Caenorhabditis elegans: one gene and its partners. The protein of the gene in region 1 purifies or fractionates together with the protein of each later gene. This does not show direct contact. Each region holds a gene or a part of one and is shown on either strand. Other genes may lie near its edges.

What was found. Proteins that work in one complex are often made in the same cells at the same time.
Region 2: the proteins of nucl-1 (region 1) and C43E11.9 fractionate together in Caenorhabditis elegans (co-fractionation; one large-scale study listed by BioGRID). This does not show direct contact.
Region 3: the proteins of nucl-1 (region 1) and snu-13 fractionate together in Caenorhabditis elegans (co-fractionation; one large-scale study listed by BioGRID). This does not show direct contact.

Annotation. Positions count from the first base shown.
Region 1 is NC_003282.8:8,286,047-8,291,448, forward strand, and holds nucl-1 (Nucleolin homolog 1), read right to left. Parts: upstream 3,485-5,402; 5' UTR 3,473-3,484; coding exon 2,860-3,472; intron 2,814-2,859; coding exon 2,503-2,813; intron 2,403-2,502; coding exon 1,439-2,402; intron 1,395-1,438; coding exon 964-1,394; intron 903-963; coding exon 825-902; 3' UTR 541-824; downstream 1-540. Other genes in the region: K07H8.9 (K Homology domain-containing protein), read right to left, coding at 13-169, 217-270; N-alpha-acetyltransferase daf-31, read left to right, coding at 4,231-4,377, 4,430-4,689, 5,113-5,254. UniProt on the Caenorhabditis elegans protein: Nucleolin is the major nucleolar protein of growing eukaryotic cells. It is found associated with intranucleolar chromatin and pre-ribosomal particles. It induces chromatin decondensation by binding to histone H1.
Region 2 is NC_003279.8:4,266,597-4,269,842, reverse strand, and holds C43E11.9 (60S ribosome subunit biogenesis protein NIP7 homolog), read left to right. Parts: upstream 1-1,875; coding exon 1,876-1,998; intron 1,999-2,047; coding exon 2,048-2,349; intron 2,350-2,395; coding exon 2,396-2,513; 3' UTR 2,514-2,644; downstream 2,645-3,246. Other genes in the region: cdc-6 (Cell division control protein), read left to right, coding at 41-775, 1,073-1,576; mus-81 (Crossover junction endonuclease MUS81), read right to left, coding at 2,669-3,061, 3,117-3,246.
Region 3 is NC_003280.10:10,657,425-10,660,195, forward strand, and holds snu-13 (Small nuclear ribonucleoprotein associated homolog 13), read right to left. Parts: upstream 1,203-2,771; 5' UTR 1,191-1,202; coding exon 1,035-1,190; intron 955-1,034; coding exon 724-954; 3' UTR 603-723; downstream 1-602. Other genes in the region: lact-3 (Beta-lactamase-related domain-containing protein), read right to left, coding at 90-244; rsp-7 (putative splicing factor, arginine/serine-rich 7), read left to right, coding at 1,786-1,905, 1,974-2,124, 2,173-2,291, 2,608-2,771. UniProt on the Caenorhabditis elegans protein: Binds to the 5'-stem-loop of U4 snRNA and may play a role in the late stage of spliceosome assembly. The protein undergoes a conformational change upon RNA-binding.

The DNA.
Region 1 (5,402 bases):
TGGAATTCATACCTTCATCGATGAGATGCACTGAGAAGTTAGCCTGACCATATTGGAGAAGACGGGACTTTTCAGCTAGGAGCAGCTTGAAATAAGAGATCACTACATCCATTTGGTCGGATTCCTCATGAATTTGGATCGATTTAGGATCTCTTTCATAGTCGGATAGCTGCAAAAAAACAGATAACTGAAAAATATATAAAGGTGTGAACTAACAATTTGCATGAATTTCTGCTGGAGAGGGGTGAGAAAGCAATTATGGTTGTTCATGGTGAAACATGAACAAGACTGAACAATTTCAGCCACGGAGCTCCGTGCCAACGTGGCATCATGGGGATGACGTGGAGGTCACGCGTATATTCAGACGTGATTAAAATTAATCAGAGTAAGGTCAGAGACGTGGCAACTGCATCTTCTTTCTTTTATCATCCTTCAACATTACATTCAGTGCTTTACAGGATAAGTGAACGTGTTCCTAAAAATTGAAAATAACTCTGACCAAAATTCAAAACAGATGACAAAATGATTACACGATTGAATATATTTTCAATGACTTTATTTTTGATAGTGTCGAGCACATCAAATACACCGAGCACACTTACTCAAATAACCTAAATGAAAGGGATTTGTGAAGAGGCAGGGGAAAACAATGAAAAACGTTTTGGGACAACAATTGGGATTGATAATTTGTGCAAGAGAAACAATAAAACCAACAACAATGAAAAATATTTAAAAAAAATGGGATTTAACAAGGAGCGAACAGATGGATCAACAAGATGGAATAAATCTAGAAGAGATTAGTGGTATGGTAAACAATGGTAAATTTATTTCTTTCCCTTGAAACCGGTCTTCTTGAATTGCGGCTTTTTCTGCTGCACACGTGGAATAGTCTTCGGTTCAACCTTAATTTTTTTTGTAGAAAGTGAAGATAAAGGTTTTAAAATAATCTGGATTAGAAATTACCTTTTTCACGAGCTTCTTTTGTTTTGGTTGTTCTTCTTCAACTTCCTGAATTCCTTCATCACTTGACGCCACCTCTTCGCTGTCATCACCTGACGAATCAGCAGCAACTTTCGGAACAATTTTTTTTTGAACCGCTGGAGTAGCTGCCTTCTTTGGTTTCACGTCAACCTTCGTCTCTTGATGTCTCGCATAGAACACATCGACTAGATGATTGTTAACCTTCAATCCATTTGATTTTGCGAATGCAGCTTGAGCGTCTTCTACGGTTCCAAAAGTGATGAAAGCTCTCTTTTTCGAGTTTGGCTGACCACTTGCGTGAAGGATCTTAATGTCTGTGGATGAACGGAAGATGTTCTTCAAGTCTGTGTTATTGCAGGTTCCTGGGAGAGCGTTGATGAAGAGCTGGAGAGGATTAATCGGACGAACTCCATCTAAAAAATTATACTTTGCTTGGCTAAGGAATTTTAAAACGTACGTTCTTTTGGAGCTTTGCTTTCACTGAGACAGAAGTCTACATAAAGAGCTTTTCCTTGAATCTTAGATTTGCTAAGAACATCGTGAGCTTTCTTGCAATCTGCGACAGTGTTGAATACAAGCCATCCAAAGTTCGAGTTCTTTTTGCGACGGAAAGAATCGAGTCCAGTTACAAGACCAGTGATTTCAGCATCTTTTGCTTTCTTAGCAATTTCTTTGATGAACAAAGAACGCGAATCTCTATCTTGACGTCTTCTCTCCTCTTCACTGATAATTGATTTACCATCGCTCTTGACTTGTTTAGAAGCGACGGTAGGCTCATCAAGCTTTCTCTTCACACCTCCTTGTTTTTCGGTGACTTTTGGCTTCACAGCTGGGATATCTTCTTCCTCTTCCTCCTCTTCATCTTCTTCCTCTACGTCTTCTTCATCCTCCTCGTCTTCGTCTTCATCACTATCTTGAGCAGCAGAAGCAGCAGCACGATTTGCAGCAATCTGTTTGAGAAGATCAGCTTTCGACTTGATAAGTGGGACATTTGTGGTATCCTCCTCCTCTTCTTCATCTTCCTCGTCCTCCTCTTCTTCTTCATCTTCATCCTCATCGTCACTGTCCTCCTCAATCGCTTGAGCTATTTGACTTAAAGACTGCTTGAGGACTGGAGCTTTCTTAGCTGGAACATCTTCTTCCTCTTCCTCCTCCTCTTCGTCTTCCTCCTCTACTTCTTCATCCTCCTCATCTTCCTCGTCGCTGTCATCATCAAAGTTCAGTTTTGGAACATCACCGGCAGCATTTTTTGATGTTTTGGCAGGATGCGGGGTTGCTGGTGCTTTCTTGTCAACAGTAGTTGGGGTTGCAACCTTAGATAAATTGACTTGCTTTCCTTTTGTGGAGTCGACAGATTTGAGAGAGCTTTTTACAGCTGGAGTTTTAGCGACAGGCTCGGTCTCCTCCTCGTCCTCTTCTTCCTGAAAACAATAATATTAAAGGAAACTCGAAATAAACATTGCAACATTTTCCAAAGAAATTTTCACAAGAAAATCAGCCTTTGAGAAAAAAAAAACATACCTCCTCATCTTCTTCGTCCATTTCAATTTCTTCCTCGTCTTCCTCATCTTCTTCATCTTCCTCAACAGCAACAGACTTTTTGACCTGCGGAGCGTCATCATCAGATTCTTCCTCCTCCTCATCATCGTCCTCTTCGTCATCGTCAGAATCTTCAGCAGCCGTAGCAATGGCACTCTTAGCAGTTTTCTTTGGTGGTTGTGGCTCCTCATCACTCTCCTCCTCATCTTCTTCGTCTTCACCAGAATCGTCTTCTACTGGTTTTGTTTGTTTTGCAAACGGAGTTCCGGTGGCAAGCTTTTTCTTCGGGACTTCTGGAATATTGAATAATTGCAAATAAATCTAAAATCAGCACTATACCCTCTTCCTCGTCGTCATCTCCATCACTATCATACTGTTTTCTCTTATCGCTAAAACCAACTCGGCTGCCTCCCCCACGAGATTGGAAGTTTCCTCTTCCTCCGCGCGGTGAGAAATCGTTTCCACCGCGTCCACGAGGTGTGAAGCCACCACGACCGCCTCCTCTAGGGGAGAACTTATTGCCACCACGGGACCCTCCAGAGAAATCTCCTCGACCGCGATTAGCTACACCACGATCTCCTCCTCGCCATGGAGAGCCACCACGATCACCTCCACGGAAGTTGCCGCGGTCTCCTCCACGCCATGGAGATCCTCCACGATCTCCACCTCGGAATCCACCACGGTCACCACCTCGGAAGCCTCCACCACGTCCTCTTGGGGAGAATCCACCTTCACGATCACCACGGAATCCTCCTGGTGAGCGACCTCTATCTCCTCCTCGGAATCCGCTTGATGAACGTCCTCTATCGCCTCCACGGAATCCGCCTGGAGAACGTCCTCTATCTCCACCTCGGAATCCACCACCGCCACCACGTGGGGTGAAGCCACTGCCACCACCACGACCACCGCGGAAGCCTCCGCCTCCGCGTCCTCTTGGTGAGTCGAAACCCATTTTGATTGTACCTGAAATAAATAAAATAAAGTTAGGAAGTCCTAATTAGAGTTAAATCAGGAAATAACAGCGACCAAATGTGTTGTAATGATATATTTCGATATTTTATGCATTATAGTAATTTTTAAGCAGAAAATTTCTTCAAAAAACGTAGAAAAGCGATTTATTTCAGTGATAAACATGAAAAAGTACACAAAGAGAATGTTTCTAAATTCGAAATTCATCGATAAGCGGGCGCAGGTCTCGCCACGATCTCTCGAATAAATGCATGCGCCTTTAAACGTTAATTTTCTTGCTGGCGGCAGCCGGCTTGCAACGGCTTTCAACAATTCGACAAATCAATAAAAACTGGATTTTCCGTACATTTCTTTTTGTTTGTTATCAAAACCGTTTGAACTGTCAATTATACACTTTTTAGAATTCGTTTTCATCAATTAGAATGTTTGTTCGTATTTATATTGCGTGATATTCTTTTAAAATTGAACAAAATAGTTTAATATAAATATTTTATTTGCAAAACTCTGTCATTTGCGATACATAGTTCTTTCCTAATTGTTTTAGTAAAAACTTAAGTTTCACGTGCCACCTTATCCACGTTTCTATTTCTACGGTGTATTGCCCCTCGGCGAATTCGAGTTATAACTTTTTTACAAGCTCGTATATTGCAAATCCTCCATTAATCTCTATTTTTTTCTCCTTTTGCATTCGCTTCCGAATTTTTTGTGCCGTTTACTCAACTGCTCTATCTTTGCAGCAGGATGAACATTCGTTGTGCTCGCGTGGACGATTTGATGAGCATGCAAAATGCGAATCTTATGTGCCTTCCAGAGAATTATCAAATGAAATACTACTTCTATCACGCTCTTTCTTGGCCGCAGCTCTCTTATATTGCTGAAGATCACAAGGTATTTTTTATTCTCATGCAAATCTTGACTTGAAACATTTATTGTTGTTCAGGGAAATGTTGTTGGATATGTTCTCGCCAAAATGGAAGAAGACCCAGGAGAGGAGCCACATGGTCATATCACCTCTTTGGCCGTCAAAAGATCTTACAGACGTCTGGGATTGGCTAATAAAATGATGGATCAGACCGCAAGAGCCATGGTCGAAACCTACAACGCTAAATACGTATCGCTTCATGTTCGTGTATCAAACCGAGCCGCATTGAATCTATACAAGAACACACTGAAATTCGAAATTGTGGATACAGAGCCAAAGTAAGTATTAATTTGAATAAATCCTCATTTCTCGGCGCGGATTAGTTCGTCCCTCGATGAACAACTGAAAAAATTCTAATCGACGTTTCCCAATCACCCGTTCGATTTCCAACGTTATACTTTTTACAGAAGTGATGGAATTAAATAATTTTGTATTCTTTTTTGGTTCACCTATTTTTAATTTTTGTTCCAAGTCAAGTTCAAATTGAAAAAGGTTATTGTGATTATCAGTGAAAGGACAAAATGTTTCGAAAAATAATTACGTTTAATAACGTGGCGCTTTTTTAAAACAATAAACAAAAATATGCGAGCGAGGTGATTAAACTTTGGCATCAATCAGAAGAAACATACTTCAATTTGCAAATTATGATAACTTTTAGAACCTTATTAACCCTAATTATTAACAAAAATGACAAATTCCAGATATTACGCGGATGGAGAAGATGCATACGCTATGCGTCGCGATCTCGCAAAATGGGCAGAAGAACGGAACATCGAGCCAGCAGATCGAGAGGCCTATACCACTGCAAAAACCACTGACGATAAAAAGAAAAATCGCAGTTAATTCGTTATCAAAGTTTATTTTTGCCTTTTCCAACTGGTTCATTCTGATACTTTCTCTGTTCTCCCCTTTCAGGAGGATCTCTTTTCTTTCAATTCTCGTTTCCTCCTCTGGTTTTAGATTAGGTAAAAATTTAAGTTTTCCCCTGAAT
Region 2 (3,246 bases), on another chromosome or scaffold:
CACTAGGAATGTGGAATAACTGAAATGTTAAATTTTTTAGATTTCAAGCCCACGAGCCAGAGGTAGACCACGAAAAGCTACAAACTTGAAGAGCCAATTGACAACTCCACGTACTCCGGAAAAACAGTCGAGGTCACGATCTGGATCTCAGGGAACACCAGAGAAAAAGTCGCGAAAAGAGAGCTCATCGGAATCTGACAGCGAAGAAATTATTTCAACATCTTCCGAAGGGGCTTTGAAAGGAAGACGTGAAGAATTTGATTCACTGAAATTATGGATTATGAAAAGTAAAGAAACGAATACTTCGTTGTCTATTTATGTCAGTGGACAACCTGGAACTGGAAAAACTGCGACCACAATGAGAGTTCTTAAATCATTGGGAAAATCAGTTCGAAGTTGTATTGTAAATTGCGCTTCAACAAATACCAAATCAGCACTATTCAAAACGATTTTCGAATCTTTGGATTTGGACGGAAAGCCGAATGAAGAAATTTTTGAGAAGCACGTGAAGCAATTCAAAACTCCTCTGGTACTGGTTCTCGATGAGATTGATCATCTCGCGAATCGAAAGAACGCTGCACTCTACGCAGCTTTTCAATGGCCAGAGACGTTGTCTCGAAAAATTATCATTCTTGGAATTGCAAATTCGATTGATTTGACAGAACGACTTCTTCCAAAATTGATGCTCGCGAAGCCACCGAAAAGACTCGTTTTTGAACCGTATACGAAAGATGACATCGTAGAAATTTTGAATGATAAAATGAAAAACGAGGAGGTAAGTTTAAATTTAAAGGATGAGTATCGGTTTTCGGCTTGTATAGACTCAAAATGTACCAAAAAAAACTAATTTTGTAGTGAGAATTTTCAAAAAAACAATTATGGTGGCTAAAAAATTTCGAAGAAAAAAGCTATTTTTAAATAAAATCACCAATTTCGCCCATTTTCTAAGAACTTTTCAGCAGTCTCATTATGAAATTCTTTCGTTTGCGCACATTTTGATTCTTTCCAAGCGAAAAACTCAGAGAACCGGTGCTCCTAAGTTCATTTAGTATTTTACATTTTATAATTTCAGACTTCAATTGACGCAAAGGCAATCGAGTTAACCGCTCGTAAAGTGGCTGCAATGAGCGGAGATCTTCGTACCGCACTCCACATCTTCAAACAACAAAAAAGTCGTATGATTCCTGATGATTCAAAAGTTCCTGGTACCCCAGTTAATGGATGTCGTGAAGTTCTTGGAATCATCAACAATGTCTATTCGTCTCCATTGGCTCGTGCTCGTCTTCCACTTCAACCTCGAATTCTTCTAGCTGTCTCTTTAACACTTTCTGCCAACAAGAAATGCACATTCGATCGGAATTCCCTGCTCCGTGCCTATTATAAAGCTTGCGAGGCTCTTCGAATGCCCGCTCTTGATGACGATGAACTTCATTCAGCGTTCCAGACTCTCGAATCTCAATCCTTCGTCCGTCAGTTAAACGGCGGAAAGCTAGTTCTTCAAGTTGATGCTCCGACGGCAAAATCGGCTATCAGTGACAACGCGATGCTTGATCAAATTGGACTCCTTCAATTTTAATCGCATCTCCTGTAACATAATTTATATCCACTTCTATTTATTGAAATATTGAAAAAGTTTTGAATTTCTTACTTTGGCATTTCCCTGTAAACTTTATCATTCCTCTCACTTCCTTTCAACGCGTTCTCTCTTCTGAATACCTGTCCCTTTACCTTCGGGTACACGTTCTGTGTAATTTATAAACGTTCTCCATATTTATTACAAAACTTTTTGCTCTGAATTTTGGTTTTATATTCCAAAATTTTTTATCTTTATTTTATTATGTCTATAATTATTCTACCCATTTCTTAATTATTCAGATGCGTCCACTGACAGAAGAAGAGACATCGCTTGTATTTGCCAAGTTGGCCTCGTTCATCGGAGACAATGTCTCGATGCTCATCGACAGAAATGATGGAGATTATTGCTTCAGAAATCACAAGGTATTAATTAATTGTTCTTTATCCAATAAAAACTCGATTTGTTCTTCAGGAACGTGTCTATTACTGTTCGGAAAATCTGATGCGTCAAGCCGCCTGCATTGCCCGTGAGCCACTTCTCTCTTTTGGAACTTGCTTGGGAAAGTTCACCAAAAGCAAAAAGTTCCATCTCCAAATCACCGCTCTCGACTATTTGGCGCCGTATGCCAAGTTCAAGGTGTGGCTGAAGCCGAACGCCGAGCAGCAATTCCTTTACGGAAACAACATTCTCAAGTCTGGAATCGCAAGAATGACCGACGGAACTCCAACTCATGCTGGAATCGTCGTATACTCGATGACCGATGTTCCATTGGGGTATGTTCACATTTAATATTCAAGTTAATTAAATATATTTCTCTAGATTCGGAGTGTCAGCGAAAGGAACATCAGACAGTAAGCGTGCCGATCCAACTGCTCTCGTCGTTCTACATCAATGCGATCTTGGAGAGTATCTCAGAAATGAGAGTCATCTCGCTTAATCGGATTTTGGTCTCCATTCAAAAATTTTAAATTCCACAATTTTTCATTTTTCATTGTTATTCTCTTGTTGATGTTGTTTTTGTTGGTCTTCCTTTCAAAATTTTTCATTCAATTATAAAAAATTCAATCTAATTCTGATTCATTCAGGATTCACTTATTGAACAAAAAATTTGAAAAGGTTACGAGTAATAGGCCTAGTTAGTTGAGGTAAAAGCTGAAGAAGTCGAATCGGTGCATCGTCTCCATTTGCACGAAAATATGAAAGCAGGGATACCATGGATGGAAATCGATCGGCAATTGCTTCGGCTCGATTCTGAGACATTCCCGGGCAAACCATCAGCTGTCGGACCCAAGCTTCTTTCACAGTTTCCGCCTTCTTTTTCTGGAGAAGATTCTGGAGTTGGCTGAATGGAACACCCGAAATTTCTTCTATGGCCGCTTTGTTCTGCAAACGAATCGTCACTTCCTTGAGAAATGCAGCTGTGTCTCGAGTATCAGAGCATCTTTGAATAAGATATCCTCCATTGGAAAGAGTTGATGCTACGGCCTGGAATTTTTGTTAGAATTTTGAAAAATCATCAGATTCTAATTCTATATTCTACCTGTTCGCAAGCAACATCTCCTTTATGTTGAGCTTCAATCAAATAAACTCGATTCTTCATCGGAGCCATATTCAATCGTCCTTTCTGCTCATCATATCTACCTCCACGAATACTTGATTGCAGATCATCC
Region 3 (2,771 bases), on another chromosome or scaffold:
AAATATTAATTTCAGTTCAGTCAAACACATTTGTCACTTCACACGGGTAGAAAAATGAGAAAAAAAGAGAGCAGGAAGGTCGAACTTACTTAAAAACCTCTCGAACTTTCTCGAAACGTTCATCGACAAATCCACTAACATCGGATTTGTGATTTGAATATAACCGATCACATACAAAGCGATAAGTTACAGATAATAAAACTGTGGCTAGAAATAGTTTGAAGAGTAGAGAAAACTGTTGCATGTTGGTGGGAACACGGAGCGGCGGGAATGGAGAGACAGAGCACACGGAGATGGGCGGTGCTTGCCTTGCCAGAAACCGTCTTTTCTCCCGGAGGAAGCGACTCCCTGTAGTTATCAGCGATTGCCTTTTTTTTGGCGGCCCTATCGGGTTGTGACGGCGTTTGGGGTGGAATTAGCAAGCCAATGGTTAGGAAGAGACACATTCTAGGGCAAACGGGGGTCGAATTAGAATGCAACCGGTTCCGGGAGGTTTATTTACTCGCATCATCATACGCCAATGAAGTACTTGTGTGTCCAAGATACACTTTAGAACAGTGTAGCCGATTATGCAATTTGATAACAATCAGATGTCCATGTTTCGCAGAAACGTTCATTCTTTTTCAAAAACGATGTATTTGCAATTTGGGACAACAAAACAATGAATGGATTATCATATAACAACAATGAGGTAACGTAACAACAAATTGATAAAAGAAGGATTTAGATGAGAAGCTTCTCAACGTCCTCCTTGATCTTCTGAATTTGAGATTTGAGCTGAGATCCTTCGTTTTGAGTGATTGAAGCAGCGATCACTGGACGAGTGACTCCACAAGCGCGTCCGAGGGCAGCCTTGCTGCGAACAAAGACGTATGGAACGTTCTTGTCTTCGCAGAGAAGTGGAAGATGGAGGAGAATCTCCAGTGGCTCGGCATCGGCGGCCATGACGATGATCTGAAACAATTCAATTAATTTGGTTCGAAAATTGATTTTGAAAATGGGAATGCAATTCAACATGGTTACGATACACTTACCTCAGAGATTCCTCTGTTGAGAGTCTTGGTGGCCTCGTTGGCTCCCTTCTTGAGCTGTTTGTAGTTCATCGCTTGCTGGACGAGATCCATGAGCTTTTGAGACAAGTTGGTATCGGCCAGTGGGAAGGCCTTCGGATTGACTCCATCATCGGCCATTTTTCTTCTTTTCTGAAATAAAGATGGTTGAAAATTGCTACAATGCGAAAGAATTATTTATCGATTCAAGAGAAAAAATAATAAAAACGATTTCAAAGCTGTAAATTCAAATTTTTACGATGATTTGCACTAGTAACATATCTGAAAGTAATAGATAATCAAAATTCCATTTATTTTTAATTTATTGTACCAACTTATTTAATTTCCGAAGAAAAATACAACGGGCAACGGGAGAAACAAAAGAAAAGAGAAAAAAACTACTTGTAATTTTCGAAAAGGGCCCAAAAAGAGACGCAGACAGTGGACGGGTCTCGCAGCGACAAGATGTTGGCACGCTGCCAAACATGCAGTGATTCTTTTTTATTCGAATTTGGCTGCATTTATTTTCGATTTAACCTGAATTTTACATGTTTTATCTGATTTTTATCGATTTTAAACGAAATTTCGATAAAAATCTAACTTTTTCTAATAGTTTATGCCTTTTCGATAGATTTTTACATGTTAATTTTGAAATTACGTCGCCGGTTTAAATTTATTGAACTACATTTTGTTTTTCTATTTTTCAAGACGAAAATTGATTATTTTATTTTCAGGAATGTCGGGGGAGGAGAAAGAAAAAGTAAAAATTCTCCATGTCGCCAACATTTCGACATCGGCTACCAGGGATCACATCTACAACATGTTCAACTATCTCGGAAAAATTCAGGATTTGAAGGTTGGTTTATTATTCCAAATTTACACATTTTTCGATTAAAAATTTCAATTAAAAATTTATTCTTTCAGGTCTATCCATCAGAAGGTAATATCACAGCTAATACTCTCCTGAAAACTGCTTTTATCAAGTTCGACGACGAGCGATGTGTCGAAGTAGCTCAGCATCTCACCAACACAGTCGTCATCGATTGCGCGATAGTCTGCCTACCATATCCGAATCGTGAGTTTTTTGAAAGCTGCATTTTTTCATAAAGTTTCATTTTTTCAGCTGTGATTCCGGACGAGGAGAGTTTTTTCAACAGTGGTGGATCTACAACGGCTGGTCAGCGACAGCTCCCACCTCACGTCACCAATAAAATTCAAGAATCTGACGATGGATCTGCTTTGGTAAGTTTATTTTCCCACTAGTTTTCCAACTAGCGTCTGGTGGTAACGGACGTTACTTGTTCATTTTACAGTTCTACTGGCCACTACCCAAATGACGAATGCAGTAAAATCCCGAAAGCGTAATCCAGAAAATCATCAAAAAACTTTGTTAGTACTCGCCGAATGATTAAATTTTCAGTTTCAGTGTATCCTCGCCAATCTATGCTGCGCATCGTCGGATATGAAAGCAATTAAATTTAGAAATTTTCAAATTCCTGATATTTTAGAAATTGCAATATTTCTAGTTTTCGCGCCGTCTAATTATTCCATTTTTCAGTTGATTACAGTCGATCCGACACTGGAGCAGCTCGGACTACCGGCTTATCCACCTCTACCGGCTGACACGGATTCTGCCAAAGTCGAAGAAATTCGAAGAACAGTCTACGTTGGAAATCTTCCGAAAGGTGTTGATGGAAACGAGGTTCTCGAACTGTTCAACAT